Drosophila melanogaster: one gene and its partner. The protein of the gene in region 1 interacts with the protein of each later gene in a pairwise test. Each region holds a gene or a part of one and is shown in the gene's direction. Other genes may lie near its edges.

Region 1 (5,078 bases):
GAAGGCAGGGAAGAGGTGGTGGTCAGGAGGCGGAATCCGGCTCCATTACTTTTCTTGTTAGACATGACGATCGGGATGCTCCTTCTGCGCCGCCCCCAAAACAGCCCTCCTTACCTAAACGACGCTTTATGATGCCCCACCGTCTCCAGCTGCCCCATCGGTACGTACAACCTGTTCAAAAAACCAGAAGTCACCGGAGGGGAGAACGTCGTCAGCTGCCCGTTTTCGATAATGGGCCAGGGGAGAATTCCCTGCAACTGGGTATGGGCAACTACCCCGTTTTCGTGTACAATGGAACCAGGGGAGAACTGATTCTCAACACCATGCTGAGCAGGAGGCGTTATCCCATGCAGGAACCAGTTCCAGGCCAAGTTCTCTATCCACCATCGACGCCCATGTTTCGTCCAAAACCGATTGTAGAGCGATTCCGCTTTCCAGGACAACGGGAGATCATGAACCTGACTTTAATTCCCTTTTATGCCCAAGAGGCCATCAATGATCCAGCCCTAACTAGCACATCCACTCAAGCACCCACCACTTCCACCACGCCCATGACATCACCCTACGAGACACAGCTGCCCAGAATTGAGGGAATGCTAACGCTGGGAAAGCGAAAGAGAAAGAAGGCCAAGCAATATGAGGCCTTTCATTCCCCTCAAGAAGTGATGCAATGGCAGACAGTCCTGCGACGATCCACTGGTCACAACGACAATCATCGTCATCACTCCAGCGAGGAAGTGGAGCCGGACGAGCAGAAGGAGTTGGGGGATCTAAGCGATGGTGTAGAGGAGGAGCTTGATGAACAAGACTGGCTAACAGCACATGAAGCCGAAACAGAGGTGGAACTACCTCCCGAGCCAACAGAAACGTCTACCGCCAGCAGCAGTGAGCCCTTCCAGATCGTCTACATCGATGAGAGTTTGGAACGACCAGCCGTCGATACTCTGAGTCCCACTACGCCGCCAACGCCATTGCGACAGAGCTCTCGGTATGCCCTGAAAAAGAAGTACTATGCATTTCCAGTGTATACCCTGGGTAAACTGCTCCAGCCACAAACACAGAATCCATCCAAGAATCTACTAGAGAAAAGTGATCGCTCGGCAAGAAGCTCCTTGGAAAGGGAGCCTAGTACCTGGTTTATACTAAATTCACGGTTAGTTGGTGCTCGCTGCTTCGTCTTAAATATTTAATTTATATATTTTTTACTTATTTTATCCCTCTTGAATTTCAGCTACAAGGGACCCTACCATCGGTCACATGGAACGGACAATCAGACCAAATACTACACATCCAAGTACATAGAGAACGGCTTCAGACCTCGGAGATAGCACAAATAATTATATGTTAATAACTAAAATTGATTAAGAATAGTTTTTGGGGTGACATTCTTTGTCCAAGAGATTACAGATCACAGTGCTCCGAGATGATCATTAATGCCTCTCTCCATAAATAAAGCCTTCAGAAAAAGTCATGAGACAATTTAGATTGTAATGCCTAGCTAGGTTGCCTTGTGGAACCGTTTTACGACCGATAAAGGGCAGTCATTCATGTTTGGGGTCAAAAGAGAACCCGAGCTCTGAAAAGGCGGTCGTAAATTGGAAAGTGAAGAATAGGGACCACTTTATTGAGCGATCTATAGTTGCATAACCCAACGTGCAAATCGGACGGGTGAGCTAAAGCCATCGCCTGACCCAAATTCCAGAGTCCAATACACGGAAAATCAGAAAGGAAAACAAAATTTGAATGTGTTAAAAAGCAAGGCAGGGCAAAGAAGAAAAGTCATCAACAAATGTTTACGGCCATTGGAATAGATGCGGCTCTTTCAAAAACGCAGCCCTCCTTTCCACGTCGGTGGATCCATCATTCATTCAATCACTTTATCAATGATGTGCCTCTCCCGGTTGTTCGCCCCGTCATTATTATTATAGATTTCCCAGCTTAGTTTTCGCTTTGCAGACTGCAATTAATTTTCTCGTTGTTCTACAAGGGGAACTATATATCCCACTCCGAACTTAGAGCTCCCCATTCCACCGTTTTCTTGGCTGGGGAAAAACCTGCTCGATGTCGGCGTTTCTGTTCTGACCAGCATTGCCATGGGCCACACAATCGATCCCAAGCGATTCCCCAATCTGTTTTGGGCTATAAAAGCTCGGACCGTCACTCTTTTTGGGCTTAGAACAAAGGCGACTGCGCACGCGAGTGGTTTATATAAGTTTGCTCAATTCTTCATAAATTTGTTCATTGCTTCCCAAGGATAAAGGGAAATTCCCTCAGAAAATCGTATTTTGGACATAGATATGAGGCTAAGTTTTGTGGTATGTGAAAAAAGGATTTACTTGCCTACATATAAAGAAAATTTTTTGGTTTAAAATTTTTTTTTTTTTTTTGTGATACAAGTGAATGTTATCGGTGATAAATGCAATAAAAAAAATTTTAAAAAATTTGCTCATGGTCAATTTTGAAAAAATAATTGTATGGACGAAGCTAGTACAATATATGTACATATGAATCTAAACAATTTGAGTAAATCTAATTTCGACTTTTGAACGAATATTGTTTTTTAATTGTAATACCTAGCCAATGGCATTTGTTAAGGAATTGAAAAACTCACCCATTCTCCTTTTCCCGCTAGATTACTCTTATCCTGACAGGTTCCCGACTGTCCAACGCTTTCTGGTGGCCAAAGACAACAACGTAAGTAAATTAAGCTGTATAACTGCTCAATTAAGTCTCACCTTCATCGTATCCATAGGGAAACCAGGGAGCCGAGTGGCGGCCAAATCCTCCAGCAAATTCCGCTCACCTATTTCCGCACATACACTTATCAGCCATTAGCTCCTGGGTTTTTTGGATTTGGAGCTGCTCAGACGCCTATGCTGCCTGGTGCTCAGTACGATCCATATGGGATGACCAGTTACGCTGCTGGCAGACGACATGACTCCGTTTCCAGGCAAGAAGTTACTGCTCCGACGGACTTGAGCAACGCGCCGAGTAGCTCTCGGACAACCAGCACCACTCCCGCGCCAACGACAACAACTACCACCACCACAACCACCACTCCGGCACCAACAACAAGACCTAGTACTACTACCACCAGTACAACCCCACCACCAGTACCACCTCCGCCCCAGTCCACCAGTAGTAGTTTCTCCGAAGGACCCACTTCTAGCTTGCTGCGCTTTGGTGAATATCCCGCGTACAATCGCCGGGTAAACAACCTCTATAACGCCAGGCCTCAGTATCCATATCCGGATTACTTCAACTATCAGCCGCAGCAGCAGACCGTAGTATCGGAGCAAGGGGTCTCCAGTAACAGTCGCATTCAATTTGTTCCCTGCATGTGCCCGGTCAGTATGCCCAGTTTCGTCTCATCCTCGACAGCGGCCACATTGCCTTCGCAGCTGTCCACTTCCTCCACATCGTTCGTGTCCCAGCCGGCGGCTCGTCACATCGAGGGACAGGAATTGGAAGCGGAAGTTGATGGCGAGACAGATAACGAGGGAGAGGAAGAGGACGAGGATGAGGAACAGGGGCAGGGGCAGGAACAGGATCAGGGCCAGAGCCAGAGTCACAGTCTGGAAGGCATTGCCATCAAGGCCCAGACAGAAAGACAGGATATAACTTCAGACAGTCCTGTCTAGTTCAATTGGATGGTGCAGCAACAGCCTTTCTGGTATAAAGCCAATCCACGACTGACTTGTCACTAAAGGGGTGCCCTAGAGATCTTAAAACAAATATTAAAAACAAATGAAAGAACGATTAAATATAATATTTAGTAAGAATGTCAATTCAGGGATACTCCAGCATATAAAAGTAAGCGTCTGCTGAAAGAATTTTTTTTCAATATTTAATAAATATAATAATAAAGAAATTATTAAATAAAAGTAGCCATAAATACCGAGAGCCTGCAAGAAAGTAAGTAATCTTAATTAGAGTACGGTATTACAAAAAAAATGCCGATAATGGGATTCCATTGATTTCATGTTCTTTTATTGATTCATATTCGGATGCTCGATCAATTACATTTACACATTTAAATTGTATTTATCAATATTTTAATACTTTGCGCTTGTTGCACGAATTTCAACTAGCAACGAGCGAAGATCCCTAAGCTCCACCTTTTTCATCTCCATAGTTCCTCCACATCAAACGTGCCTCCTCAATTAGTGGAGAACTATCCTTTAATCATCAATTCAACAATTACAAATACATTTACTTAACTAGATGAACTTGTGCTTTGAGTCTTTGAAGTTGAAATTAGCTTGCGATTTGGGGAAAACGCAGAAAGTTATCCACTCCGTTTTCATTTCAACGGTCGCCAAAGTGCCAAAGTGGTCTTAGCATAGTTAATGCATAGGTATTACAAAAAAGGAGTTAAGTATACAACTAATCAGGGGAAAATATATAATCAGTCGTTTAAGTTTTTAGATATACATGTATACATCGATATATAAATATAGTCATAAATATAAACCGCATTCAAATACAAACACGAGTACAATTATCTCTAAGCTTCGGGGATTAAACAATCGAAAATTACGATCTAGAGTATCAGGGCAAAGTCTCCCCGTAGAGACTGGCCCCCAACTAACAAAAAAAAAATGCATCTTACCTCTAGAAGATCGTACTTAATGCTAAATCTGCTACGCATGCGCTCTGAACGAATCGATTCTTCGATTGTTTGTGTGCTATGCAGCTTTTGAATGCTTGCATGTTTGCTCGTTTGTTTGTTTGTTTGCTTTGTGTTACTTTTGCTTGCGTTTGTGAACTTATGTGGTAGGGAAATTGCAATAATATGGCCTATCAATATTACCTAAGCCATCTTTCTTAGATATTCTTCTCATGCTCATGGCTATAGCCTTTCTTCGATGCCTTTCCAAAAAAATACACTTATCCTTTCTTATAAGAGAAAGACTTTCGTTTACTGCGTATGATTTCTTTCGCGTGTTTCATGAACTCGTTTTCTTCATTTCTTATTAGGCCACCGATTGCATCGGTGTTTTGTCCTTGTCTTCGTACTTGTAGATTTTCTAGATTTACTCGCACAAAAAACTAAACATAAAACATAACCTTTTGTC
Region 2 (4,106 bases), on another chromosome or scaffold:
TCCTGATCGATTTCAATGCCATCCTCGTAGCGCAGGACACCGGGCAATGTAATCTTGGCACCATAGCAAACGGCGTTGACCTGGAGAAAGATTGATGGTTGTTAGTTGATATCATAAGGGGGTCCTTTGCTAGAGGAAATGTCGACCGAATATTCTTTGTCGAGCGCGCAGGATAAGAGCGCTGCCCAACATACACACATCAGCAGCTTTGCTGTTCCCAATCATAGTCACAGGTGCCCGTGGGGATTGCAGGCACCTGCCGGCTTAATATCATGGGGTACTACTTCGCAAACGGCAACTGGATGTCAAACTTACCGAACTGTCCTTCATAATAATGCGCTTGTGGTTGACCAGCAGACCTTCTAGCGGCTTGATCACACGTCGCAGCATAGACTCGTCCTTGTGGTTTTCGTACAGCCACATGGCGTCCAAAACATCGTGCATGGTCACCATACCATCGCGCTCAGACTGAATGCCCGAGCGGACACGGCGGAGCTCCAGCATCTGGCCACCGACACCCAGTACGAGACCAAGATGGACGCACATGGTACGGATGTAGGAGCCGGCCTCGCAACTAACCCAAAAAACACCTGAGCACGTGAGTGGGCAGAATTGGAGGAGAGAAAAAGACGAGGTTTTAACAATTACATTGTGCATTTGCTGTGTTAGGCAAATACTGGTGTTTCACTGGCTGAAGCAGGCTGCACCTCTGCAGGATAAACTAATCCAGCAGCGACGCACCAACTCTGAGCGAGAATGGATAAACAAAACTTCTGACTTACCCATATTTCGGGTTTCATCGTAGTCCAACAGCTTGCTGTCGTAGACAGTACGAACGCGCAACTGACGCTTTACGGCGGAGATGAGTGGAGGTCTCTGGAAGAGGGCACCACGCAGCTTCTCCAGGCCCTGACGCACCTTGGCCACCGACTCCACGGCTCCGTGCAGCTTGAAGATGGCCACGTACTCCTTGCCGGCGCTCTGCTGGGACTTCACCAGACGGGTGGCCCTGTCAATACAAACAATCAGGCAACCTGTAGGAAAAAAAAACACGCGGCACACAATGAGGTTAGGTTTGTATGGCGGTAGGCGAGCACGCGCTTCACTTACCCGTGACTTTGGGATCCAGCGTGCCGGAGTGGCCTGTCTTCTCCACCTTGAGGATTTTCTTGATCCAGGCCACCACCTCGTGGGAGCTGGGGTTCGACGGCTTGTCCAGGTTGATGAAGCCAGTCTTCATGTACTCTTTGATGTCGCGGTTCAGGGGCGACGATCCGTGCGCCAGCGGAGTGTAGTGGTTGGAACGGATGTTCAACTTGTCGAAGTTCTTCAGGAGCAGCGGCCATTGCGAGGTGTCCAGCTCGGCGATCTTGGAGGAGGGCTTGATTTGGAAGTTGCCCTGCTTCTGCAGCGTGCCAATGTCATCGCCGTCCAAGGGCTCCTCCTTGATCTTCTTCTTTTTCTTCTCCTTGCGTACTTCTGCGGGCGCATAGTCCGTTTATTTGGGCACTCTTTTAATTCATCACTTGCCAGACTTACCCACGTCGGCCATTTTATCTACGTTTTCTGCTAAATCAACTAATAGACGGAGAGAAACCTCCGCACGTGTTGCGCGCTGCGAGAAAATGGACGAAAAACACGTGGAGTGCGCGGTCTATCGATAAGTGTGACTACACAGAAATGTATTTCATGAAGACATCGATACATAAATGGAAATCTTGCGATATGTCATCGTGAGCCGAATTCCTTATTACAATTTTGAATTAAAAATATGTATTATTCATAAACAAAATGAATTTAAAGGTATTTACTTTGACGTAAACATTTTTAATCCATTAAAGCATTATTTAATTGAAAAGATATGTTATGTAAAACTGATACACTGTTTATAGTACGGTGAAAATGTTATGTCCTTAGAATCCACTTGTTTTTGCGATGAAAAGTCATACTACCCTACTTTTTAACTGACGCGTGCAAGCTGATTGCATTTGGCGGGATTTTGAAAATCAGAAACTGCTGAGTAAAAAATATCGAAATATTGATAGTTCCAGGCCCAATCGATACTATCGCCAGTGATCTACCAGCTGTGTTTCCCAACCGGTTGTTTATTTTTCTAAACTCTTAAATTAAATTAAAGTAATGTCGAGGCGAGGACTCCTACTAATGGGCCAGTGCATGCCCTGCATCAAGCAGAACGCCTCCAAGATCCGCATTCGCCGAATGGAGCTGGACAAGAACCTGAATATGGTGTGCATAATATACATTAGATCTCGCCTCAGGAGATTTCACACAATTTCCCTTCTGCTCGCAGTACTTTAAGAAGGACGAGTTCTACTTCGCCCACGATCCGCAGAAGGTGTGCAAGACCGGGGACGTGGTCCTGATACGGGAACTGCCAGAGCGCCTCACCCGCCTCATCACGCACAACGTGGAAAAAGTGGTCTATCCGCTGGGTGACATAACGGACCCGCTCACTGGCAAGAAGGTGGTCGTGGGCAATTACCGCGAGGACATCGAGATGGCCAACCAGCTGTTCGGCAAGTCAGAGAAGGCCTTCGACTACGAGAAGGCACCGCCCCGCGGTCGCCTGGAGGGAACCAAGGACTTCACCCACGGGGAAACATACATCAAGTACCACGAGGATGGCAAGGATCAGCCGTTCGCCGTTTAGAGCTCTGCCGGTCGTTTATCTGTTAAGTTTCCCCTTTGTTTAATAGTAAAGTGCATTAATATGACGTACATATGTTTCTCGGTTTTCTTATAAAATGGTTAGGCCGACGAAAGAAGATATTTTTATAGGTTTTTGATTGCTTGAATTGAATTAAAAAGGCAGGTTTAAAAGATTTCTCTACATATTTTATTTTAATGGTCGATAGTTGTTTTTTTTTTTTTGCATTTATTGATGATTTGTTGTGTATACGTATAAATGTATGCATTTTCAACTTCCTCTCGCTGATCAACAGTTTTTGATTATTTAATTTTTGAATTTTCCTAATTCAAACGATTTTTCCGCGCCAGGTGCCAGGACACATCCGCAACACCGAAACGTGCTGCACACGCACATGGTTTTAGAGTTCAGATTCGGTCCGTGCCATAAATTAAGCTGAATACTAATCACAATCTCTTACGATCCTAAAGTTGTACTGGAGTATGGGGTTTGCCGGGTGAGCGTTGTCGTCGCACAGTTTTTGCTGCAACGAAAAGGAGGCTAGAGTCGCTGGATTTCGCGTTAATGCGTCCGGATAACGCACCTGCTCCAGGTCGTGGCTGGCGCGGAGCATAAACTCCCGTAGGAAGTAGCCGCGGGCGGGAAGATCCAGGGCCAGGCTCAGTTTGTTCTTGCCCTGCTGCTTGAGGATCTTCACCCCGCTGGTGGACTCGGCCTCGTCATCCTCGTTCAGCTGGCCGTTGGCACTCGGCTTGGCCTGATCCTCGTCGACGCAGATGGACCACTGCAGCGGCTTGTTGGAGCTGTTGGATATAGATGGTAATAAAATAAGTGATTGTAAAGAATTCATTAGGAGTCAATGGAACTTTGAATGGGTTCAAGGGCAGTATGATTTTGTATGTAAACACATACTGCATTTGTATCTTTAAGATACTTTAAGATCTTACCGAATTCGAATACATTTGTTACAGAATAATGAAATAAAGTGTACCCAACTAACCTCAGATGGAGCTCCAGACTACTGGCCTGCAGATAGCGCGATACCGGAACCACATAGCTGACATTGAGGGAACTGCCCGAGGTGGGACAGAACTGCTCCACGTCAATGGTGTGGTTGTACTGGGCCGCTAGGACGCAACTGGCCACACTCCAGCAATCCAGCTGGAAGGGCGGCAGCACGGACTCGTCGGCCTTCGGCCCCTGATCCTGCCCAGAGGCGGATTGCAGAAGGCGGTAGACGGGATCGTCCTTGGCTGCGACCACCGGTTCGGTCTGCTTCTTGGTCAGGGCGTCGGTGCCGTGTGAGCTCTTGCCCAGGAATCCCGGCTGGGCCTCCAGCGCGGCGGAGGTCTCATTGCCTATTGAGACAGCGGGTTGGGTCTCAACGATGTCCGGATCATGTTCCTGCTCCTCCGCCGACTGCAGATCGTCCTCCACG

Evidence for each region. The genes of interacting proteins can lie anywhere in the genome.
Region 2: the proteins of CG13362 (region 1) and mRpS17 interact in a two-hybrid assay, tested with the Drosophila melanogaster proteins (one large-scale study listed by BioGRID).

Annotation. Positions count from the first base shown.
Region 1 is NC_004354.4:748,389-753,466, reverse strand, and holds CG13362 (uncharacterized protein), read left to right. Parts: upstream 1-2,165; 5' UTR 2,166-2,297; coding exon 2,298-2,315; intron 2,316-2,611; exon of another isoform or gene 2,612-2,632; coding exon 2,633-2,694; intron 2,695-2,735; exon of another isoform or gene 2,736-2,752; coding exon 2,753-3,641; 3' UTR 3,642-4,226; downstream 4,227-5,078. Other genes in the region: CG13361 (uncharacterized protein), read left to right, coding at 1-1,153, 1,232-1,328.
Region 2 is NT_033778.4:24,172,401-24,176,506, reverse strand, and holds mRpS17 (mitochondrial ribosomal protein S17), read left to right. Parts: upstream 1-2,065; 5' UTR 2,066-2,139; coding exon 2,140-2,247; intron 2,248-2,311; coding exon 2,312-2,671; 3' UTR 2,672-2,842; downstream 2,843-4,106. Other genes in the region: Nop60B (nucleolar protein at 60B), read right to left, coding at 1-80, 316-590, 783-1,034, 1,111-1,479, 1,540-1,552; CG3328 (uncharacterized protein), read right to left, coding at 3,111-3,191, 3,252-3,471, 3,669-4,106.